Linked DNA regions of Sus scrofa. The protein of the gene in region 7 interacts with the protein of the main gene of each other region in a pairwise test. Links are inferred from orthologs where the notes say so. Each region holds a gene or a part of one and is shown on either strand. Other genes may lie near its edges. The genes, in order: PDLIM7, BEGAIN, UBXN11, CCDC102B, PNMA2, MKRN3 and ENKD1.

Region 1 (4,105 bases), on a different chromosome or scaffold from region 7:
AGGGAGGTGGGGAAAATGAAAGTTTAAATTAGGAAGTAACTGGAATTCCTGTTGTGGCCTTGCTGTGGCTGTGGCATAGGCCGGCGGCTATAGCCTGGGAACTTCCATATGCCCCTGGGTGCAGCCCTATAATGAGAAAAGGCCAAAAAAAAAAAAAAAAAAAAAGTGAAAATTCTTACAGTTTATATTATGAGGGGAATGATGCAGAATAGGGGGAAATGTAATGATGATGGTGGAGGTAGGAGAGTAGCCACAGCCATGCCCTAGAAGGAGGTGAGGGGTGGATGCCCATCCTGATCCCTGGTCAATTTCCTCCCACTGCGCTAGCATTGGGGCTGTGGGGTCTGTGAAACCCCCACTGGAGGCGCTGCCCACTCTGGAGTGGGGTACCAGGACTATCTCGACAGTTTGGGGGTCAGCCCTAAACCTTCGGAGGGTCAGGGGGTAGGAGTGAGGGCAGGGCATAGGGTCGGGGCGGAGCCAAAGGCCTTTATACCTCTGTCTGCTGCCTTTGGTGGAGTGTTCTGCAAACTTAACTGTAAGCTCCCCCTGTGTCGACCTCAACTAACCCCACCTCCAAGGTTCACCCCCTCCCTCTTCCAGACCAAGTCTGTCCGATTTAGATATTCCTTTTGTGTGTGTGTCTTTGTGTGTCTTTTTGCCTTTTCTAGAGCCGCTCGCCGCAGGAGCGGCATTATGGAGATTCCCGGGCTAGGGGTCTAATCGGAGCCATAGCCACTGGTCAGAGTCACAGCAACGTGGGATCCAAGCCGCGTCTGCGACCTGCACCACAGCTCACGGCAACGCCGGATACTTAACCCGCTGAGCAAGGCCAGGGATCAAATTTGTTAACCACTGCGCCACGACGGGAACTCCCGATTTAGATATTCTTGAGCTATCAATGGCTGTGCCTTACGCCAAACTATGCCTATCTTCACGGTGGCCTGTGAGGCGAGTATTACTGTCCCACTTTCCCAGTAGGAAACTAGGGTTTAGAGATGACTCAGGTCCAGATCTGCCTGGTTTGCTTGGTGACTTGCTTTTCACTCGGCCAGAGGGAGGCGCAAGGGGCTGGGCGAGCCGCGGGTTGGGCTGTCCAGCAGCCCAGACCCCCCCACACCCTACCCAGGCCCCGCCCCATTAAGGGGACCAGGGAGAGCCTTGCCTTACAGCGCAAAGAGAGACCGGACTTCGTGATTGGGCGGTACGGAAGGATTCGGCGGGGCTTCCTACTGCCTGGGAGACTGCTCATGGGCTCAACTTTTGACGGAGGCGTGGCCACAGGCCACGCCCCCTCCAGCGGGCTCATAACTGATGTCTGCGGCGGGGGCGGGGCCAGAACGCGGGCGGCGGATCCCAGCGCGGCTCTCTGGAGCCCGCTGCTGAGCAGCGCCCCGGAGGGGCCGAGCAGGTACAGGCGACTGTGCGGGGCGTTTCGGGCTGGGCCAGGCGGGGGGGCAGAGGCCTGTTAGGGGCCACAGCGGGCACTAGGGGTCGTGGCCAAAGCTGCGCTTCCTCCGGCGTGCGGGAGCCGCTACCCCCGCCCCCGCCTTCCTGAGGCGAAGCCGGCTGCGGCGGGGCCGATTGGCGCCTGCGCCGCTTCCTGCCCCCGGGACTCGGCCAATGCATGGGGCCGGGGCGGGGAACCAGGGGGAAACCGAGTCACGTCAGGAGGGTAGGCCTGTGGGGGAGGCATCACCCCCACTGAACTCTAGGATGAATTCCCTTCCTGGCCACGCTTTGAAGTCCCAGTCCCCACCGACCTACGCAGGGGCCGCGCACCCGCCCAGTTCCCCCAGCGCTCAGGGGTCTCGCCCTGGGTCACGGCAGCTTCGACTAGTCCGGGAATGGCTAGTACCCGCTCCAGCCGCCTCCCCCCCTTCCCCTCCCCCTCGCGTCCCGAGCCCCCGTGTGTTCCCTCCGTTGGCTCTCCGCACAGTGTCAGCTTACACGCCTTATATAGTCCGAGCAGGCTCCAGCCGTGGCCTGCCTGCCGGGACCTGGGGGCGGGGGAAAGGAGGAACGCCGGCCCCGGACTGGCCTTGCCGTCTAGTTCCAGGCTCAAGGATGGCTTGGGGGGAAGCCAGAGCCAAATTAGCCCTGCGATCCACTCCTGGATGAAAAGAATCTCAAGGCTGGATTCGGGCTCCCCTCACCCACCCTGTCCCTTGGGGAAGGGGGGTTGCCGCTGCCTTTCCAAAGTGAAGTCTGCCAGCTAGCAGCCCAGCCAAACTTAACAAGTTACCCTCCTACCCTTGCCCTGGGTGTGCTCAGCGTCTGCTCGTGCCTTCCTGGCACTAGTCCAAGCCTGATGTCCAGAGCTAGGCCTGCCTGTGTACCCACCATGCCAGCTGCTCACCTTTTCTCTCCTCTCAGGAGCGGCACCATGGATTCCTTCAAGGTGGTGCTGGAGGGGCCAGCACCTTGGGGCTTCCGGCTGCAGGGGGGCAAGGACTTCAATGTGCCCCTCTCCATCTCCCGGGTGAGCCTAGATTGAGGGAGGGGCTCCCCCAGGGGTCTTGGGGTGCTCAGATCTCCAGTGGGTGACAGAAAGAGCCTGAACAGGAGTGAGCCACGGCCGGTAGGCCAGGAGGTGCCCAGGTCCAGATATGTGGGCACTGCCACGAAGACTACCAACCTAACTAGGGAGATACTAGGAGAGGAGCCCCCACACTTCCCTAGCACTGCACTGTACCTGATGCTGTTCCACGAAGCTCCTGTGGCCACCTCCAAGGCCCAGGGGGATGCCCATTCTGAGGTCTCCAGGAAGTGTCTAAGCTCCTTGAGAGAGCAATGCTTGGAGCTAGGCCCCAGGCAGGGCTCTCTGACTGCAGGATCTCACTTCATTCTCACTGCCACCCAGGGAATAGCAACTGTCATCCTGTTTTTCCAGATGAGCTAACTCAGGACTCGGAGAGGTGAAAGGGCTCCTTCAGCAACTCCGTGGCAAAACAGGGATTGGAATTCAGCCACAGGGATGGCCAGCAGTCTGTGTGTGTGAGGGGTGCCTCTCCCCGGCCTGTGTGAGGACCTTCCATCCCATCCACTGGTCCCATTCAGGATGGAGTGGGCTTTGACCCCAAGCAGGGGTTGGGATGGGTCTCTAGGACTCTGACTTCAGCTTCTGAGATCCTGTCCTGGTGGGGGTGGAGCTAGGGGCCGGCTCCTCCCTGTGGCAGGGGGATTGCCTTATAAGCCCAAGAATGCAGCCCCACGCAGGGATGGCCAACTGGTGGCTGGAGTCTGCAGGGCTGAAAAAGGCTGGTCTGGGCCTGGACCCCTGACCACATCAGTGGGCCCCTCAGCTCATCGCCCCCAGGCTGTGGCTCTAGCCATGGGATCGGCCGTGGGACATGTAAAACAAGCTGCCTGCCCTGAGAGAGAGTCCAGCCCTTGGGCTGGTATCTCTCACTGTGGTGGGGGGTGGAGGGTGGGTTCAGGAGGAGGTGGGGACTTCCTGCTCCCATATCCGCTTATCCAGAGAGACCCACCCAGGCTCCTGGTGGGCAGGCAGCTATTGGCAGGAAGCCCAGGGCAAGCACAGCCTAGAGGGGGCCGGAGGGTTGTCCAGCCGCAGCTGAGCTCAAGGGGGCCCCAAAGCAGAGTCTGTCGGAATTGGGCTTGGTGGCCAGAACAGCTAGGCTGTCACTGTTCTCAGGGATCCTACCCTGGGAGCTGCGCTGCCGGAAGGGTAGCTAAGGGCAGTGATCTCCCTACCACATATACCCACCCTGTACACAATTCTCGAGTCTCTCCAGCCCTGGAAACCTCCCCCTGTATACCCCTTCCCTGGGAAAGTGCTAGCCAGTGTGACTGGGTAGCTGTAGGCCTTGGCTTGGCCTCTGAGCCTCAGTTTCTTCCTTGGTGAGGATGGGCAACAAAGTAGCCTAGGGGATGGACTTTCAGATGTGGCCTGCTGGGGGCACCCTGAGCCCAGGCTCCCTTGTCAGCAGGCCTAGCATGTGGGTGGGGCCACCAGCTGAGCCCAGCCCTGGAGTTGGACCTAGGCCCTGGTGGGTGGGCGGGTGTGTAGGGTGGTCTTTTCTGAGCTGGGCCCGCCCTCTCTCCCTCTACCCTGACCCCAGCGTGGAGTGGGGAGGGAGGG
Region 2 (2,975 bases), on a different chromosome or scaffold from region 7:
CCCAGAGACCCTAGGGCTGGAAGAGCACCCTTGGGGGTGGCCCAGGAGGGGCCCGAGTCAGAGCCTGGCTCCAGCCTCCATGCTCTGTGGGGCCCTTTCCGAGCGGCCTGGGGTGGGTGGCGGTGGCCTGGCCCCTTCCGGGAGCATCCTGGGCGTGGGCTGCAGCTGGTGGGGTGTGAGAGGCCCTGGGCAGGTCCCCGTCCGTCCGTCCGTCTGTCTGTCTGTCTGGCGGTCCGTCTCTGCTGCCAGTCCCGGGCTGACCGTGACCCCTGTCCCCCGCCTCCTTGCGCCCTGACCCCCCCGCAGCTGCCCTCTGAGTTCCAGGAGCGCATGAGCCTGAGCATGGACAAGCCCAGCTGCAGCCTGCCCTCCCCGCTCTGCCGCCCGGCCTACGCCGACAGCGTCCCGGCCTGCGTCATGGCCAAGGTGTTGGAGAAGCCCGACCAGGCCAGCCTGTCCTCCCGTCTGTCGGATGCCTCGGCCAGCGACCTGGGCTTCCGCGACGGGCTGGAGAAGCCGGGCTCCCGGCCCCCCTACAAGGGGGACCTCTACTGCAGCGACACGGCGCTCTACTGCCCGGAGGAGCGGCGGCATGACCGGCGGCCCAGCGTGGATGGGCCCGTGGCCGACGTGGGCTTCCTGCAGGCCCAGAATTCCACCGACAGCACGGCCGATGAGGAGGAGGAGGCCGAGGCGGCTGCCTACCCTGCGAGCTACCGGCACGAGGCCTTCCCGGGCTACGCGGCCTCACTGCCCACGTCCAGCTCCTACTCGAGCTTCAGCGCCACCTCGGAGGAGAAGGAGCACGCCCAGGCCAGCACGCTCACGGCCTCCCAGCAGGCCATCTACCTGAATAGCCGCGATGAGCTGTTCGGCCGCAAGCCGCCCGCGGCCTACGAGAGCAGCCCGCGCTATGCGGCTGCCGCCGCCGCCGCCGCCGCCGCGGTGGCCGCCCCGCTCGAGGCCGCGGTAGCCCCGGGGTACCCTCGGACTGTGTCCCCGTACCCGGCCGAGCCCTACCGCTTCCCGGCGCCCTCGGTCTCCCCAGGGCCCCAGCAGGCCCTGATGCCCCCTAATCTGTGGAACCTGCGGGCCAAGCCGGGGTCAGCCCGGCTGGTCGGGGAGGATGCGCGCGGCCAGTGGCGGCCCCTGAGCGTGGAGGACATCGGCGCCTACCCCTTTCAGGCCGCCGCCGCCGCCGCTGCAGCCGCTGCTGCAGCGGCCGCTGCCGCTGGCGCCGCTGGCGCCGCTGGCCGGGCCTCACCCTGCAACTTCAATGATCGTTATTTCGGGGGCGGGGCGGGAGGCTCCGGGGATAAGGCCGAGGGCCGCGCCAGCCCCCTCTATGCCAGCTACAAGGCTGACAGCTTCTCGGAGGGCGATGACCTCGCCCAGGGCCACCTGGCCGAGCCCCGCTTCCTCCGGGTGGCCGGCGAGCTGAGCCTCAGCCCTGGGCGCGCGGCCGACCCCCTGCCCAGCTATGCGGCCAGCGAGGGGGATCGGGAGAGGCTCGGGGTGCAGCTGTGCGGGGCGAGTGGCAGCCCCGAGCCCGAGCACAGCCCCCGTAGCTCCAGGGATTCCCTGGAGCCCAGCTCCATGGAGGCTTCCCCGGAGATGCACCCCTCCGCCCGCCTCAGCCCCCAGCCGGCCTTCCCTCGGGCTGGCGGCTCGGGGCTCAGCCGCAAGGACAGTCTCACTAAAGCCCAGCTCTATGGGACCCTGCTCAACTAAGCGCCCGCGTGCAGGCCTCAGCCACGGCCACCCCCGCGCACACACGTCCCGGGTCCCCAGGGGTGCAGCCTCGCCTCCCCAACACCCAGCTCCCCGGCCCTGCAAACAAGGACCCCTCTCCACCTAGCCCAGTCGAGCCTGAGAGGGGGACCCCCAGCCCACGTGTCTCGTCCGCCCCCGTGGCACCGTGGTAGAACGTTCTTTGACCTACCGCTATCCTTCCCCGGCTGCGATGAGCTTTCCCTGCTTTTGTAACGTGCACCTCTTTCTACAGTGCAGAAGCGTCTTTCTTCACGCACTGGGCCTCCAGCTCTCTGGACGGCGGCCTTGGCGTTGCCAGCGCAAAGCTCCTTGACTTTCCGGCGAGGGCGAGATGGGCCTGCCCCTTGGAGGGAAGGACGGTGTCCGGCCGAGACACCCCAGCAAGCCAGTGACAAGGGAACCCCAAAGCTCTGCCCACGAAGAGGGGAACCGAAATGGGTGAAGGGATGAGAGACGTTTCCAGCTATTCTTGCGTGTGGCCCGCCCCCGTCCCCCCCAGCTCTCCCGTGGTCTGTAGTCCCGAGTGGGGCCGGTGCTCGTCCCCCAGTGTCCCGCTCCCTGGCACCACCTCGCTCTACCTCAGATGCAATGAGGCCCCCCGACCCCCGGTTTCCGTGGCTTGCTTTCCTGTTGTCTGTGATGCATGCCCTGTCTCAGTACTGTATTTTGCACTCAGTAATTAAAGTCATCAGTGGAAAGAAATCGGGTTTTGGTGGTTCCTTCTCCCTACCGCCGTTCGATCTCGGGAAGTGTGGCCCTGGGGGTCTCCGGCGTCCCGCCCTCTCTGTGGCCGGCGGGGCGGGCTTCTGACCGCCACACTCCTCCCCCAACTCCCAGACACCCAGTCTCCCCTGCTCATCGTCACCACTGCCCTCCGTTCCTGACGCTCCCCCAGACCCCCTTTCTCTCCTCCTCGCGTCCTCAGGCTGTCTTCCTTCCTAAGATTCCTCAGGATGGCCTCTCGTTCAGCTTCGCTGCTGACAAACGCTCCTGGGTTTTCCCCCCTCTGAAGATGTCTTTATTTTGCCTGAAGGCTACTCTCACCAGGGAGAATGTCAGCAGGGGGCTCTTCCCCTTCCCCCACCCCACCCCCACACACAGAGATGTCCGCTGGCTTCCTGTTGGGGTGGGGCTTGCCCTCAGTCCCTCCCAGAGCTCTTCGTGGTGCCAACCTGTCTTTTTCTCTCCAGCTGCTTAAGATT
Region 3 (3,500 bases), about 55 Mb from region 7:
GCTGAGCTCCAAAGGAGGGGAGGAAAGGGGACAAGGCACCCAGGGGACACAGCACAGGCTGGAGCTAATGGGAATGCAGCTGGAAGGAGCTAATCCTGCCAGGGGTCCAGGCCAGGCCAGTCCCAGGGGCTCAAGGGCAGCCCAGGGACAAGTGAAGCCAGCTACAGCCCACAGAGGGGTCAGGGTAGCATCCTGAGCAGTGGAAGGAAGAGGCAGGAGCCTGGGCCTGGGGGAAAGGGCTGGGGGAGGTGGGGGGACTCAGGGGAGGGTGATGGAGAAGGAGGGCAGGAACTTGATGGGGGAGGGGAGGGAAGCACAGAGGGGATGGGGGAAGGGAGGTGAGGAGGTCAGAGAGGATGGGGAAGAGGGGTCAGGAGCTCAAAGTTGGCAGGAGCTTTCAGCCTTGAGGCTCGACACCTGACTTGAAAGTGGTATGGCCAGAGCAACATCTGACCTGAAAGTAGCATGGCCAGAGCAGAGCCGCCCTTTCAGGTCTGCGTGTACCCTGAGGCACCTGGCACCCGGCACCCGATTTGATGTTCACCCCGCTGGTGGAAGGGTGGGAGGGGCTGAGCTTCCTCTCCCCTGGGCCCCTGCAGGGGCCTCCTCCTTAAGATAGGACTCCCGGGCTCCAGAACATTAGAATCAGCCCCAGTTTGCCCAATACAGACGCCCCAGCTCACCTATCCCCTGGCCTGCTGCCCCAGGGCCTGTGGGAAGTGGTACCCAACAGAGGGAGAGCCAAAGAAAGGAGCCAGAGCATCAGGGCCAGCCAGAGGCTACCTCCATGGGCCCAAGGGTCCTTGGGGCGGGAGCAGTCTAGCAGCTGGGGACCAGGCCATGGGGAAAGGAAGGGAAGAGCGTGGGAGGGTTCCAGGAGGAAAAGCTGCTGGAAGTGAAAAACATGTTGTTCATCGGGTAGGAGAGTGAAATCAAGGTCCCTCCGTGTGGAAGAATCAAAAAGCAAAAGAAGGAAGACGACACACAGAGGGAGCTTGTGGCTGGGTGGCTTTTACAAGTGGCTTCTGAGCTGGCCGTACTCTGTGTGTAAAGCACAGAGCCGGGGGGAGGGGGGCTGCTCTGTTTTGGAGGGAGAGGGTAGGAATCCACAGAGCCAGGACCAGAAAGCAGCTGTCTGGTCTGACTCCTTCCCCAAAGGGGCAGGGCAGCCCCCTCCGGCCAAGAGGATGACTCTCCTCCAACAAGGAGGCCTGAGCCCAGCTCAGGGACAAGGAGGGGAGGGGAGGGGCAGTGCTGGCAGGCCTTTGGCCCTAGAGCCCAGGAACAGACATTCTTACAGCTTCTGGCAGTCACCTGCCAGGGTCTGGCCTCTCATCTGGGCAGGTGTCCCTGGAGAACTTCCCATAGGACTCAGCCCAGGGTTCAGCTCCGGGCATGACCCAGGTGCCACCAAGCTCCCCCAGCTTTGCTATGTCCCAAGTGGACTCAGCATCGTCCCCCCACTCGTGCTCCCCAGGGTCAGCCCAGGTTCCTCCTGCCCCCTCCCTAATGAACAAGCGATCTCCAATAAATCTCTCTGCTCTGCCCCTGCTCACCAGCCCCACCAGTATCACCCTATGCTGGGCATCATCTCATCTTCTGCCCAGATGATTGTAACCACCTCCCAATGGGCTCTCAGCCTTAAGCCTTGCCCCCTCCACTCAACAGGCTTCGGACGTCTTAAGTGCCTCAGTTTCCACATCTGTAAAATGGAATAACCCCAGCTCATGTCAAGACTATTTATGAAAATGCTTTAAAGGAAGTTAAGTGTGGTCCAAATGGGAAGTAATGTTTTTGGAACAAGGATGAGAGGGTTGTGCCTGGAGATTTAGGGGGATCCGGCCAAAGGTGGGACTCCCATGTTTTCGGTTTCGGTTTTTACCCTGCTGGAAACTTGTGAAACCAAGAGAGTGCCATCATCTTCCAAAGAGTCAGCCCGGGAGCCACGCTCATGTTCCCACGGGACTGTCACTGCCTCTGACTGTGGAGACCAATGAGAGCTCCCACTCGTGGGGCTGAAGGCATGCAAGGTCAGCGGGAGGTGCTGCGTCCAGCCCAGCGTGGGCGAGAACACACCCCCATCTATTGGAGAGGACCTGGAGGCTCAGAGAACAGAACCCGAGTCAAGTCACGCCTGGGGGTAGAGTGGCAATGAGGACCCAGCCGTGACCATCTCCAGAGCCCAGAGAAGAACCTTCAGGGCAATGACCTCCATTCTTTGTGGAGAATGGACCCGGCTTTCAGAAGGGGCCAGTTCTATGGGCCCAAATCTCTGGAGTGCATCCCTCTGGATATCAGCACTCGACTTAGGAATAAAAGGGGATGGCGTCCCATAAAAGCAGGTAGATTTCAATAGTTTGCTGTAAGGGAACCTGGAAAAAGAGTCCGAAGAGGAGGCCAAGCCCTGGGACCACAGGACACTTCCAAAGCAGAGGGACTGCTTTCAAAGGCCACAGCTTTGGGAGGGGGGATGTTCTGTGAACTGTGGTGCCTGAGACAAATGAGATCTTGTTACATCTTGTATCTCTGGGTCCCCGGAGCCTTAGAAAGGTGAGCAAACAGAGTCTAGGTTAGGTGCTCAGTGATGAAAGCTGAGGCCTTTCCCTCCTGTCCCTGTGTCAGTGGCAAAGCGTGGGAGGCCTCGGGGCACCTCCTCGTGCTGGGAGGAGGGGCGTGAATGAGATGGCCTCTGGACAGCTGGGCACCATCAGAAGCTGCTGGACAAATCCCTTTGCAGGGGGCGCTGGGGTAGACCCTGACTCTACCTGGCTTCCAGAACTTCTTGGCTGTCATCCAGTCCCTCTCGTTATCCTCAGAGTCCTCTTGGTCCACGGGCTCACCCACCCACTGCAGGCCGTAGTCCCCAAGGAACCGCTGCGGGGAGAGAGAAGGGAGGTGTCCAGGGCCCTGTCAGCTCAGCCCCTTCCAGGGGAAAAGGCAGCACCAGCCCAGCCTCCAGCCTGGGCTCCCAAAGCTGACTGGATCGGGGGGATGGGCCCCAGGGTCTTGAACCACTTCCTGGCTGTGACCTTGGGAAGCCATTTCGCTGCCTAGAGCCTCAGGCTCCTTGTGAAATGAAGCTTGTGAGGAAGACTAAGATAATTCATGTCATGTACTTAGTACCGGGCCTGGCACAAGCAGGAGCTCGCTGAAGGCAGGTGGGTCTGGCCTGAGAAGCAGGAGGGGCAGGGACACCCCACTTGGCAGGTCTGAGGGGACATGTCCACTCACATGTGGCCCCTCTAGGGCTGGCCTCACAGCCCCTTTGCCACAGGAAAACTTTTTTTTCTTTTTTAGGACTGCAGGTGCAGAATATGGAAGTTCCCAGGCCAGGGGTGGAATCGGAGTTGTAGCTGCCAGCCTCCACCACAGCCACAGCCACACAGGACCTGAGCCATGTCTGCAGCCTACACCACACAGCTCACAGCAACGCCAGATCCTTAACCCACTGAGCGAGGCCAGGGATGGAACCCACATGCTCGTGGATTAGTTGCGGTCTT
Region 4 (3,500 bases), on a different chromosome or scaffold from region 7:
GATAAATTTCAGTTTAATATACTGAAATAAATTTCCTATCTTCATTTTGAAATTTCAACAAAAAGAAATATGTTATTAAGTAGTGAAATATGTAAATATAAATATATAATATTTGGTATGCTTCTAATTAAGAGTTTCTCTTTTTTAAAATACTGGTCTTGGTTTACTAGTGGTCTGAGAAATTTGGTCAGTATATTATTATTGTCACTGAATTACAGTAAATGAAAGGAATAATTGCTCCAAGTCAGCACTAGTTCAAATATGATTTGACATAAACTAATGTTAACAAAAATAATTACAACCATGAATCTATATTATTATATTAAGTATTATAATGAGTGAATTGGTTTGACATCCCTACAGAACACTTACTAAAATGTGTTTTTCCACAGCTGAAAGTGGTATACATTTAATATTATATGGTCTTTTTTCAGTCAATAGCAGTTAACTTAGTTGGTATAATGAAACCCCTTCAGTAGATTAAATGGATGGTTCATAAAAAGACAATTTATGATCTGTAACTCTATAAAAGGAAATGGAAAAAAAATGGGAGTAGTTAATATCATGAAGGTAAAATGTTATCTAAGATCATTTACACCAGAAACTCTTTGATAATAAAAATGGGTAATCTTATACAACCACAGAACTTTATTAATTTGTAGATTAACCTGCATGTTTTGAGAATTTATTTTAAAGAAAATGTTCCACTTGCTAATCCTCAATATAGTTATGTTGCTATATTGAATAAAGTGATGGATGTACATACTGATAAGAAAGGTTTGCATTTACCAATTAATTTGTCTTTGCTATTTATATGGAAAGCTGCTTTTAATTCCTTTTTAAAGCTCTGGAATTACTGAGACTCTTTTCAGTGTTGTCTGTGAAGCTACTTTGTTTCTCTAAAACAGTTCATCACTTCTTTAGCAGTACCCCTTAGTGTATCTTGTACACACCAGTGATATGCCTGTCTCATTCACTGGCCTACGAAATCTTTAAGGACACAGATCATGTCTTATTCATAATATTTTATTTTTAGAACTTAAAATACTAACCACAGTAGGAAGTTAATTTATGTGTCAGATGTCATTTTGACAGCAAGTTACAGAAAACTCAACAGTCATAGCTTAAATAAATTTAGGTAATCATTCTCACACAGCAAGGAAACCAGGGGTATGGATTCTATCTTTCAGGCAGCAGCTCCATCATTACACAAAGCTTTTTTCATTCTTCTGTTTCACTATTTTTAATGTTACAGGGTGGCTGTTACATTTACCTTCTTGCAGAATCTTGTCTTTGATCAGGCAGGAGGAGAGCAGAAATAAAAGTGTTTCTCAGTCTGATGATTTCACATTTTTCTGAATGGGAGACTTCTCTAGCAGACTTCCCCTGACCTCTCATCAGTCCGAACCAGGTCACATGCTGCTTTAAACCTATTTATTATCTATTAGGAATGATGAATTAAATGGAGGTTATCCGAAAGGTTTAGACCAATCATAATTTAGCCCCTGGGATTGGAATAGGAGCTTATCCTTCCAAAGATCAATAGATTCTGCCTTCTACCTGAACAAATTGGGCTTTAGTTAGCAGGGGAAAAGGGACCATTGAGAAGTTAATGGACAATATATGTTGCAATAAATATTACCTGAAAAGAACTGGATATGTTGAAATGAATTATTCATGTCCTATGCTATCCCCCGCTGCATCTTTATATATTATTTGTATTTATTTGGCAAATTTAAATAGGAGAAATCTCTGTTTCTTTGAGGGTAATTACAAATGCAGAAATTCCTCTATATTTTTAGCTACAATGGGAAGGGAAATATACAATATTGAAAAAGACACATTGTTTTCATCAACTTCCTTTTTTAAATGTCGGTCTTGCTCTTATAATTGCAGGGGAAATTCGAATGCAATTATGTTCTCTGTCTTTTCTTAGGCCTGAAAAGATAAATATGAATTTAGATTCCATTCGTCGGTTAATTGAGGAAACACAAATCTTCCAGAGGCAGCAGTCATCAGTTAAACCAGCATGTGACCTGGTGGTGCCTGCCTCATCCCCCAGGGACACCTGTGGTCCCTATTTGCCACTTTATGGGCTGCAATCTCATGCCTATCACAACGTCTGTGCTCACTCATGCAACAGTAATGAATGGGATATTTGTGAGGAGCTTCGACTGCGGGAACTGGAGGAGGTCAAGGCCAGAGCTGCTCAGATGGAGAAGACCATGCGGTGGTGGTCAGACTGCACTGCCAACTGGAGAGAAAAGTGGAGTAAAGTTCGAGCTGAAAGGAACAGTGCCAGGGAGGAAGCAAGACAACTCAGGATAAAATTAGAGATGACCATGAAGGAACTGAGTACTCTGAAAAGGAAGCAAAATTTGTCACCTCAAAAGGAGGCTTTGGAAGCTAGAGTTATTCAGGACCTTAAGCTTCCTGGTTTCAGAGATGTGTCCTCTACACAGAGAGACTCAATTCAAATTGGTTCCAAAACCTGTGAGTCCATCAGAGAGTGTTTGGGAAAAAGAGAATTTCCTACCAAGGAGAACACAAAGAGTAAGGTCAGAAAAAATCCAGAGGAATCCAGAGATTTTTTGAATGCTATAGACAGTAATGAGGAGGGAAAGGAAAATAGCAAAACCAGTGGTTACTGTGTTTGTTTGTGTGGGCTGCCAGAACTAACTGCCCACAGACTGGGGGACTTCAGCAACAGAAATTCATTTTCTCAGAGTTCTAGAGGCTAGAAGTCTGAGGTGGGTCAAGGTGTCAGCAGGGCTAGTTTCCTTGGAGGCCTGTCTCCTTGGCTTACAGATAGCTGTCTTCTCCCTGTGTCTCCATATTGTCTTTGTGCATCTTTGTCCAGATTTCTTCTTCTTTTGTGGATGCCATCACTAGGCCCACACTAATTAAGCTCATCTTAACTTAATTACCTCTTAAAGACCCTATCTCCAAACACAGTCACATCCTGAGATATTTGGAGGGGGTTGGGACCTTAACATATGAATTTTAGGGGAGACACAAGTCAGCCTATGTTACTCATACTTTTAGCCAAAATTAACCCAGCATTTTTTAATGTTAAAAGAAAATATTTATGGAGATTTCTCTCCATTTACTCTAGTAAACCATTACTAAGAAATTATCCGTACAGTAGTTTAAACCTTTCCTGAAGGTTGGGACTCTGTCCTCACAATTAATCACTCAAAGATAGGTAACTTAGGCAAATATCTTTAGGGACTGCTTCACACTACCTACTCTTGGAATTTCTTGGTATACTTGAATCTTGAAGTTTCTGAGATTTCTGCACACAATAAAAAATTTTAAAACTTTAATCTAGCAGTTCATACACTTATCTATCAATGAAACACCCCTCCTCCCATATATATATATCTACAACTCATGGAATATACATTTGGAAACTAGGAATTTGTGTTCGCTCTTCAAGTAGAATTAGTTTATATTATTACCTCTTTCTAGTTAATTCTACCTCTACAACCATAAATCAA
Region 5 (4,138 bases), on a different chromosome or scaffold from region 7:
GACGAGATAGATTCTCGCTTGCAGTCCGAGGAGGCGCTGACCATGGTCCTGGCCTCCGAGCTCGGGATGCGAGAGCGGAGGACGACAGAGGGGATGCGCTGGAAGTGTACGCAGGGCGCGGCGGGGAGCTGTCGTCTAGGCCCCCGCCCCTCCCGACCCCCGGGGAACCCGCCGGCCTTCACGCGAACCCTCCACTGCACGCTCTGAGCTGCATCAAAAAAGGGTGGGGCAGCCAGACACAGCTGCAATCGGAAGCTGCCCGGGAGGATTTAAGAAGAATGGAACCTCGGCCCATCCCCTCCCCCTCCAACCAAGAGACCCCCCAGCCGGGGATAGGCCCATCCTTTACCCCTACCCCCACCACCCAGGCCCAGGGAAGCGCGGGGAGCCTTTGTGGGCGCACAGCCGCCCACCGCCCAGCCCGAGCTTCTCCGAACCCTGCACGGAGAAGGGGCGGGTAGGGTGGGGTGCTTGTGCACATGCAGGGAAGCGATATTCGAGGTGGGGCAGGACGGTGGGCACGCTGGGATCCTCGGCTTTTCACCGAGCTGGAAGGGGCGCGAGGGAGGGGCGAGCCCCACGCTCCGTCCTGTCTCGAACACCTCCGCCCCTCCTCCATACCAACCTGGTCGTTGATGTTCTGCAGGGCTTCCTTACCGGAGGCCCGCCGGATCTCCACCTTCCGGCCCGATTCAACAGATGGCTCCCCGCCGGCGCGCCGACCCTGCCGGGAGTACGGCGGCTGCGGGTCCGGGCCCAAGTGGGCGACGTCCCGCTGCTGAGCCACCACCTGCCCCGAGCCCCGGCCCACCGACAGCGAGTCGAAGTCGATGGTCTTGTTCTCCGAGGACCCTTCCACCGGGCAGAACATGCCACAGAATTTCTGTCGAGGCTTGGGGCTACCGGAGCCCAGGTTTTTAAAAAAGGCAGGGACCTCTTCGTCCTCTGCCGCCTTCCCGGATTGCTTCCTCTCTGCCATGGCTTGGGGGCTTGGGGAGTGTCCTCTCTGTCCGTTCTTTCCTCAGCGGGTCCCTAAGTCTGCCTGTCTCTGTGCAAAAATCCCCCCCGGCTGCTGCCTCGGCTGCTGCTCTCTGCCTACCGCAAGGTGTACAGAAAGGAACGAGGGCTGGCGAGCGAGCGACCCACCCCTCCCGGTCCCTCCCCCTGACCCCGCTTTCTCCCCTCCCTGCCCACGCCCCCCGCAGCCTCGCGAGCTCCCGCGAGCGGCAAAGTTGGGGTTGGGAGGGTGGCCGCTGCGGCAGCAAGAACCGAGAGGCTGCCAGTTACCAGCAGCGGCGGGAGGTGGGGGGAGGCGCGGGCGGGGCGGGGGCGGGGCGCGGCGCTGGGGAGGGGAGCTCAGCGCTGGGGAAGCTGGGGAGGGCCGCGCCGCCCAGACCCCACGCTCCGGAAGTGAAGCGGCCAGACCCCCGGCTAATGGATGCGGAGCAGAAAGCCCGCTGACCGCTCTCGGCCCCAGGGTAAGTATGGGGCAGGGCACGCTGGGGCGAAGATCCGAGGGCGCCATCCCAGGCCCCCGCTCCCCTCTCCCCGAACTGCCCGGCCCAGGCACCTCTCTCCCACCGCAATGCAGAGCTGGCCCAGGGGCGAGGGCCCACTGTGTGGAGGGTTCCCTCCCCCTTACCCGAGTGCGAGCTAATGGATAGGAAAAGGGGCAGAAACTGGTAGACTCAGGACACTCAGCGGGAAGGTAAGGGGCGGCACTCAGGACGGAGAAAGGATGGCGCAGGCTGCGCAGAGTGGTGGGGGCCATATAGGGCGCGGTCTATCCATTGGCCTTGGTGGGCTACTGGGAGCAGAGATTGAAACAAGTTCCTCATTTACTATACCCACTGTGGTGGGGGGCGCGCAGCGTGGCGGAGAGAAATGCAGAGAGGCATAGCAAATGCGGAGGAAGTCGGTATATATAGAGAGAGACATAGGTCCACGGTCTGTGGGAGTGTAGCAAAGAGTGTAGTCTGCAAATTCCAGCCCAGCGCGGCAACTTGGATGTATAGTGAGAGAGGGAGCAGACCGCTACACTGGCGCGCCGTATACCGTAATTGCGCCACAGCGCCAAGAAAAGCCCAGCAGAATGCATCTTCCCCCGCCCCCAACCCGGCAAAGAAGGGAGAAAGACATTCTTTGAAGCCCACTCCCCAAATCTCCAGCCCTACCCAGCGCCCAGGGCGCCCCGCCTCATTTCCCCGCCCTGCTGCGCACTGCGCCAGAACCACGGGGTTTCCTAGGTTGCCAGAAGCCTCGTGCCTGAGGCCTTCTTGCGCGCGCGGCCAGTGCAGGGTAAGGAGATGGGGTGCCAGCTGTGATGAGTGAAGAACTGTGTGAAATCCAGCAGGAGAATGAGGTATGGGGACATGGTGTGCATGCGCCAGTAGACTAGCCACAGCCACCACCGGTTTAGTGGGCATCCAGAGGGCATTTTAATGTATGCCAGTAACACAGTCTCTGAGGGCTCTTTATTACTTACACCTATCCCTCTGTCCTTTCCACGTCTCAGTCCCTGCCCATGATTGATTACAGCCCTGCCTTTCTCTCTTCAGTGGCAAAATCCTGCAGAAATGATGCCCATCCTTTGGCTGCTGGAGAAGGAGCTCTGGGCATGCTCACTAAGCTGGGTGGGTTGGACTGGAAAACACTCTACCATAGGAGTGTCGTTGCTGGGCAGAGTAACCAAAGATCCGATCCCATTGTCATCCCTCACCCCTGGAAGGGTTAAATGTGGATACCCTGCCTCTCCCAATTGTGATGGATAGTTTGGTAAATGGAGTTAAATTCTGAGGACAACCAGTCCCAGTTTGAAGATAAGCCCACCATGATAGGTGGGAAGGCATCTGGGGATGAGAAGGAGAGGAGGAGGGAGGAGAGAGGAATTTACATGTGCAGGGGATGAGAGAACCAGAGGCAGGCATTTGGACTGAGCACCAGATGTGCTTCACATTTGAATAAAATGCTTCCACACGAATCACGCCATTTCCTACTGCCAGCAGCCCCCTGAGATGAGTGTTTCATTGTCACCACTTCCCAGGATTCCAGGGTAGAAAACAGATGTAGAGGCTTTGCCCAAGGTAACTGTCTAGTTAAATGATCCAGCAATTCCAGTGAGGTCTTCCACCTGGAAGTCTGGTTCCTTTTTGACCTTATCCTGTCTTTATAGGAGAAAGGACAAGATTTTCACATTTTCCCCTATATTCAAATATTTCCATCTGTGGCTTTATTGTGTGTCAGGAATGTTTCACTCGCCTTTTATTTTTATTTTTTATTTTTTTTAACTTGAAGGTAGGTTGCATTGCAGGTAGAGACTGGTTTTGGAAGAAGAAGACACCCAAAGATAGCCTAACTTCAGCATGACCATTATTATGTAGACCTTAGAGCTGTTTCTTCCTGGGTACCCAGTGTCTTTTTCCACCTTATGTTTCCTCTATTGCAACAGGGAGGAAGGTCACTCCCACGTCTTAGAAGAGGAACAGGAGGCATGATGAAGTCCCTGGGTTCAGATCCCTGGGGCTGCAGGGCAAGGACGTGATCCAGCATTTTGCCCTTCTGACCCTCTGGCACATGCCCCACTTTCAGCACCTTCCAGAAGGACTCAGGAAATGTGCCTGCAGCAAGAACAGCTGCCACTGTAGCTGCAGGTTGGCATCTGTGGCATATGGACCCCATTTGGAGTGATGGAGATTTTTAGGGAAAAAATAGTTGTGGCACCTTAACACACACTCCACGATGCATGACAGCAACGGGATGATAGACAGTCTTCCCTTTTTACATTATTCAGTCTCCACCGGCTCACCACAGATGTGCCTCCTCGATTTTTCTTTGTCCTCAAATCACCCATTCAAGTTCAGATGCTATGAAGAAAGCATCATGTTACTAATGAAACATTTATAGCAAGAAAGGCCCCTACTTGTGCATTTTCAAAACCTGACCAGGCATAACCATAGGGAATTCATAATTCCAAGTTTAACTTATTTGGTTCTACAAGTTTTTTCTAATTGTTAAACCTATATTAAATTTTACCTATAATGTTATATTAAAGTGTATTATATGTTATATTTTATACCTGTGTTCAGTTGGTTTTAAATGTTTGAGTGATTTCTGATTGGATTTTTTAATCAAAGAAATG
Region 6 (4,164 bases), on a different chromosome or scaffold from region 7:
TTTCTTGATAAATTTCACAAGAAATTTATCAATTTCAATAATCATTACAGAAGATTTTGATTAATTTCCCCTACTTCATGTTTGTTTCTCTTTAATGAATTTATCTTTATTATTTGCTTTGCTTCTAATTTCTGTGCTATATTAAGGCTTTCTTACACTTAAAAATATAAATTTAGACCATAAATTCCCTCCAAGAAACTTGTTTAAGCAAATGAAATCCAATAATATATAAAATTATAATAAATCATACCACAAAAAGGTTTTTCTTGGAATAAAAAATGGTAAGTTAAACAGTTAAAACCTAGCAGTGCAAATAATCACAACAACAAGACAGGGAGAAAATAATATGATAACCTCTCAAAAAAATGCAGAATACTACATGATAAAATTCAGTAGCCATCCATAAATATGCTTTATATTTGAGAATTTACTTTTTTAACCAATATAATAAAATGCACTTGCAAAATTAAGAGGTACCGCTTACAGGGCATAGAATATGCTATGAAAGGCTGGTCTAACACAATACCACACAAAAAAGGATGAAAGAAGGGGAAACAAAGAGCCACTGTGAGTCAAATTAGCAAGAGAAAATAAAGGCTAGGGTCACAAAGGGCACAGGGGCTAATTAAGCCAGCATCAAGCCCACTGAAGTCTGCTGCTTCTGCACAGAGGGAGGGAAGCATTAGAAATCACAATAACCTAAGACAGCTGACAGGCACTAAAGCAGTCACAGATCACAAACGCTCCCTGCTAATGTCTCACAGGGGAAAAAACGTTTCCAACAAAAGCCGGTAAGAATTTCCAGAAAACAAAGAGCAGTCTCAAGTCTTTTCAACACAACTAAAGGGATTAAAGCTGCTAGCAGGGAAAGTCAGGAAACCCATAAATAAACATGACAAAAAATACGACCCACACAGACATAAAATGGAGTGAACAAACAAAGCATTTATAAAATTTATGCACGAGATGTTTCAGAAACAAGACACCCTTTTAAACATACGGGGCTTTAAAACAAACGAGGATTAGACGCTTTAAAGAGAGATGTATGAAAAAGCATTCAAATCACAGTGTCGGAAGGAACAATGGAAGCGATTGAATTAAAACCTCAAAAGGCTGGGATTCCTTTCCCCAGGAGAGACGCGGGGGAGCAGGGGCTGCGTGCAGAGAAGCGGAGACGCTGCTTGAGCCGAAAGCGGGCAGCGCTGCTGGCTGCGAACAAAGAAGGAAGCCGGTCAGCATTCCTGACGGACCGATCGGACCGATCGTGCAGAAGTGATGTAGGACCGATGTTGCCTCCACAGGAAGTGTCCGGCGCTGCCAGAGAAGGAAGTAGGAACACAATTACAGGAAGTAGGGACCGGGGGAAGCAGAAAATAGATGCACACTTCCTAAAAATCAGCCCCGAGCTAGCGCCCGGCCTCCGGGCCTCAAGGCTGACACAAGGAGACACCGGGGTAGTTCCGGTACCATTTCTGGGGAGCAGAAGCTGCCATGGAAGAGCCTGCAGCTCCCACAGAACCCTACGAGGCAGCTGGGACATTTGGGGACATCGAGGCAGCCGGGGAGATCAAGCCTTGGCCCACCCTTCCGGTGCCTCCCACCTCCCGGTGGTCTCCGGCTCCAGGCCCAGCCCCCTTCCGTCCGTCACGTGTGAGGCCCGCCCAGGAGTCAGGGGGAGGGGCTGGGCCCAGATGGCTGCCGGGCCGGAGCAGTGGCAGCTGGACAAAGGAAGTGGTCTGCAGGTATTATCTGCATGCTCAGTGCAAGGAGGGGGAGAACTGTCGATACTCCCATGACCTCTCAGGGCGGCAGGTGGCCAGGGAGGGCCCCGGTTCACCACCCCCAGCCTCCACAGACAGTGGCCCCAGCGCGGCTGCGCACGCCGAGGCCCTGCCTCAGGAAGTGGCGGAAGCCCCCCCGGCTGTGTCCTCACGCTCTTTTCCTCTGATTGGCTCTGCTGAGAGGGTTTTCTTTGAAGCCGAGACTGAATATGCAGGCCTTGAAGCTGCGGGAGGAGCAGGTGCGGAAGGCTGGGAGCATGCCATTGAGTTTGTTCCCGGGCAACCGTACCAAGGCCGCATGGCCCCTCCTATCTACGTGGCTCCTCCACAGGGCTTGCTGACTGTGAGGGAGCAGTTTGCCTTGGGCCAGAGGCAGCAGCTTTGCCGCGATGCTATCATGGGGCAATGCTTTCGTGGGCCAAGCTGTATGTATCTTCATGGAGATATGTGCGATTTGTGTGGGCTGAAGGTCTTGCACCCCTTTGATGGTGCTCAGAGGGCAGACCATAGAAGGGCCTGCATGGAAGCACATGAGCAGAATATGGAGCTCTCGTTTGCCGTGCAGCGCAGTGCGGACAAAGTGTGTGGCATCTGCATGGAGGTGGTCTATGAGAAAGCCAACCGGAATGATTGCCGCTTTGGCATCCTCTCCAGCTGCAACCACACCTACTGCCTTAAGTGTATCCGCAGGTGGAGGAGTGCCAGACAGTTTGGGACCTGGGTCGTCAAGTCCTGCCCCCAGTGCAGAGTCATCTCCACCTTTGTCATTCCCAGTGAATTCTGGGTGGAGGAGGAGGAAGAGAAGCAGAGACTTATTCAGCAGTACCTGGAGGCAATGAGCCACAAGCCCTGCAGGTATTTTGTAAGAGGCAGGTTCTGCCCATTTGAAGAGAACTGTTTTTACAAACATGCCTTCCCTGAGGGCCAGGGAGAGGAGCCCCAGAGGCAGGGTGCTGGGGCACCCGGTCCTTGGCGTGGTCAACTTTTGGAGCCTCCGCAGGTGGGAGAGGGCGACATGCCCTTTAAAAGCTGTAAAAAAGAGCTTGTCATGCTTTGGCTGGCCAATCTGTTGTGTCAGTGTTTTCTTTCATGGGGAGCTAATGAGCTCCCCTGCTCAGAGACCCAGTGGGACTTGCTTCATTGTGAGCTGGAAGAATATTTCAATTTGAATCTGTGGCATTCTGTGGCATGTTGTATGGTGTGCTGAGGCTCTGTCATCTGCTCTTGCCTGTGTTGTGTTTATAGACACATCTGTCACTTACAGAAGCTGCTGAAACCATTTGTTTAGAGCATCCATCTCTGTTTTCTTGCCCATTCCCATTTCTTTGCCCCTAGGGTTATGGTGTTTCACTGTGCTAAAAAGTCACAAAACATCCTTAAAGTTATTGTTTGGTGAAATTAATATGACTGTCAGTTTATGGTTTATTTTGTCATCTCTGTTTTCAACAGGATTGACTCAGTTCTAGTCTAGTGTTTACAGAATGTCCACACTCATTTTGAAGCCCCTCAAGAATAAATGTGACAGGGTGAAGGGAGAAGTCTTAACTGAACAAGGAGCTTTTTGCTACTTCAGCCTTAAGAAATCGACCCTGGAGGGGCCTTGTGGTGCAACTGCTTATCTCTGTTGTTTACACATTTGTTGCTTCTCATCCCTTTCAAGTGCACTCTTTAACTTGTGGTTACCTTGTGGTTTTGTGTTTTACTTGACCAGAACCAAGTGCATATGTTTACATGTTTTTATCCTGTTTAGCTTGATGTGAAATTATTTATATTTGGAAGTAATATTTAAGAATTATATATATGCATATTAATGTGTGTGAAAGCGATATATTTGAGGATAAATATAAAAGATATACACCATTTTATTATGTTTATGTAGTACATACAGAGCTAGAAGCTGAAAGTTAAAGGCTGATAAGATTTGATGTTGGGTGAATGTGAGGTGTGTGAATAATTCTGTCCTTTTCACAGGCTTCTGTGATTAGCATCTAATGAAAGCAGCTATTTCAGTGTCTCTAGCCAATTGTGATCATAAAGAATTTACAAAATACCAACATTGGTAATTCCTGTGATGGAATTAATAGCTTACCCTGCTGTTACCAATATAGAAATGTGAGTTCCTGTGCAGTTTAGACACCATCTCATTATTCTTTATAACAGCACAATCCTGGACTCAGATACACATTCTTTGTATTCAGTATTTTGTGTGATCTCTAGATATTCCAAAGAAGGGGCTTGTGACAAAAGTTTGCAACATAAAAGCGACAAGATTGTAAAAGATAAAGTAGACTAATAAGCATATTGAAATCAGTCAGAATGCAAGCATGGAAAGATAAAAAAATACAGAAAAGTAACAAAAGCTAAGTATGATAGTAATTTGGAA
Region 7 (3,969 bases):
AGCCCCACATGCAGAGAGGGAAGGTAAGAAAGGAAAGATGTGGTCAGGGAATTACAGGAAGCCACTAAAGAGTTTTAAGGCAGCTGGGGCAAGAGGAACAGGGTGCTAGAGGGGGAGCAACACCCTCAGGGGTTCAGATGTGTATGTAGCAGAATCATCAGGTTGGTGGGGCAAGGGACCCCCAGCAGGGAGACTAGTGAGCTCTCACCTGGAGATGAGAGTGTCCCAGGCAAGGAGGCTGACTGGGGTTCAAGGGATCTTGGACTGAGAGGGTAGATTCACCTGCCATGATGTCTGATTAGCTGGTAGGAGTCAGCCAAACGCAGGATGGCATCGGAGTGACACGGAGATTTTGGCTTGAACAATTGTATAGATGAGATACTGGAGGAAAAGCAGGTTGGAAGGAGGAGAAATTCATGTAATTTGGAATTACGTGTGTTTAAGGTGTGTGAGGGACATGCAAGAGGACCAGGAGGCGGCAGGCAAGGGGGGGTGGTTTCCAAAAACGGCCAGCACTGGAGACCCCTGAGGGCAAGACACAGGGCTCCAGAAAGAATGTCCACCTCCACCACCCACTGCCTGCCAGGAAAAGGCATCAGTACCTCTGTCACCAGGGGCCACTCTGGGGGCAACATCTGGTCCAGTTATGATCTGCCAGCAAATGGGAAGCATTCCCGAGCTGTCACTCTTCGGATGGGCAAATGAACTCTGCCACCTCAGGGGAGGATCTCAAGTGCTGGTCCCCAAGGTCAGACAGTGCCAGCCCCTTCCCTGAAGACAGGAAGCAAAGCCAAGCGCTTGCTTCCCATGACAGTCCCTTTCCTTTCTCTGCCCCAAGTTCTTCCTTACCACCTCCCTCTCCAACCCCACTGTTATCTTGTCTGGTTCATCTAAAGAGGCTTTAAATGCACAGAATCAAGCCCCTAACCTGAACCCCTGCAGAATGTGATACATTTAGGTCTAGGGCAGTGCCCAGGAATCTCTGTTTCTGTCAAGTTGACTGCACTGGGGAGTCCTCCACCCTTCTTCCCATCCTCTCCCTCTTCAGGCATCTCAGCTGGGGAGTCACAGTCTGAGAAAACGAAAAAGGTTTATTTGTAGCATATCCAACGTCACTGGTGGGGGCAGGAGCCAAATGCCCCCCTCCACCTAAGGGCCTAGGCCCATAAGCTGCTGCTCTGGTTCAGGCTTGAGAGGAAGGGAGCTACCACTGGGGCAGGACATTCACTTGTACTGAGGAGAGAGTGGGGGTACTAGTGGGGCAGCGCAGACACTTAGCATCTTGTTGATGTCCACATGAGTTGACTTGTCTACCTCAGCTTTGAGATGACTGCTGACCCCCAAGCTGGGCAAACCACCAGACTCCTCTCCAGCTTCCTCTCCCAGGGGAACCAGAGGGTGAGCAGGGCACACAAACATATTGGGGCAGGGCAAAGTGAGGCCTGGGCCCAGCTCACCTGCCATGGGCAGCAAGGCCTGCAGTTGCTCCACACCTGCCTCCTCGGGGACCAGGGTCAGCTCCACCTCAGGCTCCACCTCAGCCTCAGCCTCCCTGTCCCCTTCCCCTGCCTGGTTCAGCTCAGGGTTGCAATAGTTGATGTACTGGTACAGGGGCCGCAGGCGCTGGGCCTTTCCTGCAAGGACCCAGAGCAGGGCAGGGGCTGGAGCATCAAGCCGTACCATGTCAGGGGTCCAGCAGGCAGGTGGAAAAGGGAAGGCCCAGGGACTGCCACTCACGCTCCAGCCCCAAGGTCTCTGAAGGCACAGACACTGTGCTGGCTACCACTGGGAGCACTGGGGTCCCTAGACTCTTGCGCTTCTTGGCTTTTTTGTGCTGTTTGGCAGACGGTGAGGGCTCACTCTGGCTATTTTCCAGCTCCTCCTTCTGCAGCAGCAGCCCTTGTGGCAGCTCAGCTTCAGCCCTAAGATGGGCTTGGTGGCTGGATCCTGGGAGACTGGGGGACAAGGAGACCTGAGGAGTCAGCCTTCAGGCTTAGCTCTTGCCCCCTGAGCCTAAGAAATAGCCCTTCCTGCCTATCACCCCAGGCCTAGATTCTTGTCCCTTTCCTGGCCAGTAAGGCCCTGGGCTGAAAGGGGCCAAAAGCTCATGTGAGCTCAGTCCCCTCCAAGGCCTTGAGACTCCCTCTCTGGATGATCCCTTCATCAGGGCACTTGAGGGACAGCAGAGGTGAGGAGTGATGGTGGTGGCCAGGGATGGATAAGGAAGCACACTACAGGAATGCCCAATTGAGGATTTTTTTTTTCCTGCAACCACAGCATGTGGAAACTCCCAGGCAAAGGATTGAACTTATGCTGCAGCTGCAGCCTGATCCACAGCTGCAGCAACACCAGATCCTTAAGCTGCTGTGCCACACGGGAACTTAATGATTAGGAATCTTACTAGGGTGATAGCCACCTTCACTCTCCACCTCCCACCCCCAGCCCTGCAGCTCCTTCCTTCTGAAGGTCCCCTCACTTGACAGGCTTCCTCTTCGGACCATGATTGGGCTTCACAATGGAGGTTATAGGCCTGGGGCCTCTCTCCTCTAGTGCCTCTGCTACTGGCTTGAGCCTCTTTTCCTCCATCTTGAGTCTTTCCTCCAGGAGCTCTGGCTCTGAGACTGCTCCTGTTGGACACTTGTCTTCACCCTGGGTCTGGCAGGCCACAAGGGCTGGCTCCAGGCACTGGTCTCCCATCACTGGACACTAGAAGTGACACATAGGTAATTGGTCACCACGACCAGGCAAAGGGTAAAGGGATCAGTCATTAAACATCAAACACAGATGAGGGCACCATCCCATGCCCTTCCCAGGCTATGGAGCCTGTCCTGGCAATTAGGGAGGGGGTCGTTGCACAGAGTTGGTCTCCTAAAGCGCTGTGCCCAAGTGTTTGAGGGCTACACAGCCTAATGGTCAACTCAGAATTCTGAGCGTAGCCAGTGGGCACCTCAGTGAGCTGTGCCAGCCCCACAGCCGTCTTTTCCTGGGTCCCTGGCCGCCTCTCATCCCCTGCTGAAGCCATTGCTCAGGGGATCAGAGCATCCTCGACGGTTGCTTGGAAGGTGGGGTGGGTGGGAGGTGGAAGGCGGGCCCCGAGGGAGTCAGACTGGCAGACTCAGAGCTGATCTCAGAGAAGAGCTGGGTTGAGAAGAGCAACTGGCAGCCGTTCTGCCCCACGCTCAGCTGGAACTACAAGCCCCAGAAGGCTTTGCGCCAGGGGGCATTGGCCCCTGACCTCAGGGAAGGAAACCACCGTTACCTGGCAACAGCAAACCCATCGGGTGGCAGCTGAGGGCGGTAAAACTGCTTGGGTGAGCCCCCGCCCGGGTGTTGCGGAAGAGGGGCCGCTAACCCCGCTGGGAAGTGATTTTGTGAGTAGGGGGTGTCCTGCGCAGGCCGGGGTCGGGAGGCGGGGCGGGGGCCGGGAATGGAGGGCACAGCCGGAGTCAGGGCCCGGGTCCAGGGAGGAAGCACAGGGCTGAGAAAGGGGTTCCCCAGCCGGAGATACGTGCGCGGTTGCAGGGCGACGACGGCGGCATGTGTGAGGGTCCGTCCGGCATCTCGGGGCCTATCCCCCCAGACCCTACGCTCTGCCCTGACTACTACCGGCGGCCGGCCTCGGGTGAGTGGAGGAGTGCCGCAGCCTGGCGAGGGTCGGGCTCAGCTCTATCACTGAGCCCTGCACTCCGCCCCGTCTGGCCTCTCAGCCCAAGGGCGCCTTGAGGGAAACGCGCTGAAGTTGGACCTGCTAACCTGGAACCCAGACCTAGAAGTCACCCCTCCCAGCGGCCCCCGCATGGGTCCCGGAGCCCGAGAAATTCTGGAGCGTGGCCGGCGCGGCGTGAGTGGCATGCTGCTGCAGCTCGAGGGTATCTCCCTAGGCCCAGGGGCCTCTCCCAAGCGTAAGTTCTGGGCAGAAGGGACCTCTAGGTGAGTTTGAGGTCACAGCTGAGGTCAAAAGCAGCTGCT

Evidence for each region.
Region 1: the proteins of ENKD1 (region 7) and PDLIM7 interact in binary tests that used the Homo sapiens proteins (3 or more experiments, as listed by UniProt). The two-hybrid records come from large-scale screens. The link is inferred for Sus scrofa from reciprocal best matches to the Homo sapiens genes ENKD1 and PDLIM7.
Region 2: the proteins of ENKD1 (region 7) and BEGAIN interact in binary tests that used the Homo sapiens proteins (3 or more experiments, as listed by UniProt). The two-hybrid records come from large-scale screens. The link is inferred for Sus scrofa from reciprocal best matches to the Homo sapiens genes ENKD1 and BEGAIN.
Region 3: the proteins of ENKD1 (region 7) and UBXN11 interact in binary tests that used the Homo sapiens proteins (3 or more experiments, as listed by UniProt). The two-hybrid records come from large-scale screens. The link is inferred for Sus scrofa from reciprocal best matches to the Homo sapiens genes ENKD1 and UBXN11.
Region 4: the proteins of ENKD1 (region 7) and CCDC102B interact in binary tests that used the Homo sapiens proteins (3 or more experiments, as listed by UniProt). The two-hybrid records come from large-scale screens. The link is inferred for Sus scrofa from reciprocal best matches to the Homo sapiens genes ENKD1 and CCDC102B.
Region 5: the proteins of ENKD1 (region 7) and PNMA2 interact in binary tests that used the Homo sapiens proteins (3 or more experiments, as listed by UniProt). The two-hybrid records come from large-scale screens. The link is inferred for Sus scrofa from reciprocal best matches to the Homo sapiens genes ENKD1 and PNMA2.
Region 6: the proteins of ENKD1 (region 7) and MKRN3 interact in binary tests that used the Homo sapiens proteins (3 or more experiments, as listed by UniProt). The two-hybrid records come from large-scale screens. The link is inferred for Sus scrofa from reciprocal best matches to the Homo sapiens genes ENKD1 and MKRN3.

What each region holds. Positions count from the first base shown.
Region 1 is NC_010444.4:80,451,708-80,455,812, forward strand, and holds the start of PDLIM7 (PDZ and LIM domain protein 7), read left to right. Parts: upstream 1-1,305; 5' UTR 1,306-1,411; intron 1,412-2,376; 5' UTR 2,377-2,386; coding exon 2,387-2,482; exon of another isoform or gene 2,483-4,105. UniProt on the Homo sapiens protein: May function as a scaffold on which the coordinated assembly of proteins can occur. May play a role as an adapter that, via its PDZ domain, localizes LIM-binding proteins to actin filaments of both skeletal muscle and nonmuscle tissues.
Region 2 is NC_010449.5:121,389,054-121,392,028, reverse strand, and holds the end of BEGAIN (brain-enriched guanylate kinase-associated protein), read left to right. Parts: intron 1-306; coding exon 307-1,731; 3' UTR 1,732-2,475; downstream 2,476-2,975. UniProt on the Homo sapiens protein: May sustain the structure of the postsynaptic density (PSD).
Region 3 is NC_010448.4:83,697,516-83,701,015, forward strand, and holds part of UBXN11 (UBX domain-containing protein 11), read right to left. Parts: intron 2,875-3,500; coding exon 2,766-2,874; intron 1-2,765. UniProt on the Homo sapiens protein: May be involved in the reorganization of actin cytoskeleton mediated by RND1, RND2 and RND3. Promotes RHOA activation mediated by GNA12 and GNA13.
Region 4 is NC_010443.5:153,888,097-153,891,596, reverse strand, and holds part of CCDC102B (coiled-coil domain-containing protein 102B), read left to right. Parts: intron 1-1,936; 5' UTR 1,937-1,952; coding exon 1,953-2,558; intron 2,559-3,500. UniProt on the Homo sapiens protein: During interphase, forms fibers at the proximal ends of centrioles to maintain centrosome cohesion. During mitosis, dissociates from the centrosome following phosphorylation to allow centrosome separation. Contributes to CROCC/rootletin filament formation.
Region 5 is NC_010456.5:10,425,590-10,429,727, reverse strand, and holds the start of PNMA2 (paraneoplastic antigen Ma2), read left to right. Parts: upstream 1-1,338; 5' UTR 1,339-1,478; intron 1,479-2,213; exon of another isoform or gene 2,214-2,362; intron 2,363-3,448; exon of another isoform or gene 3,449-3,650; intron 3,651-4,138. Other genes in the region: DPYSL2 (dihydropyrimidinase-related protein 2), read right to left, coding at 626-979.
Region 6 is NC_010443.5:142,498,169-142,502,332, reverse strand, and holds the start of MKRN3 (probable E3 ubiquitin-protein ligase makorin-3), read left to right. Parts: upstream 1-1,364; 5' UTR 1,365-1,491; coding exon 1,492-2,988; 3' UTR 2,989-4,164. UniProt on the Homo sapiens protein: E3 ubiquitin ligase catalyzing the covalent attachment of ubiquitin moieties onto substrate proteins.
Region 7 is NC_010448.4:28,286,467-28,290,435, reverse strand, and holds the start of ENKD1 (enkurin domain-containing protein 1), read left to right. Parts: upstream 1-1,169; 5' UTR 1,170-1,224; coding exon of another isoform or gene 1,225-1,634; 5' UTR 1,635-1,737; coding exon of another isoform or gene 1,738-1,972; 5' UTR 1,973-2,481; coding exon of another isoform or gene 2,482-2,708; 5' UTR 2,709-2,919; coding exon of another isoform or gene 2,920-3,022; 5' UTR 3,023-3,371; intron 3,372-3,377; exon of another isoform or gene 3,378-3,522; 5' UTR 3,523-3,537; coding exon 3,538-3,622; intron 3,623-3,707; coding exon 3,708-3,902; intron 3,903-3,969. Other genes in the region: C6H16orf86 (uncharacterized protein C16orf86 homolog), read right to left, coding at 1,225-1,634, 1,738-1,972, 2,482-2,708, 2,920-3,022. UniProt on the Homo sapiens protein: Microtubule-binding protein which regulates microtubule organization and stability. Promotes the stability of astral microtubules and facilitates the proper orientation of the mitotic spindle.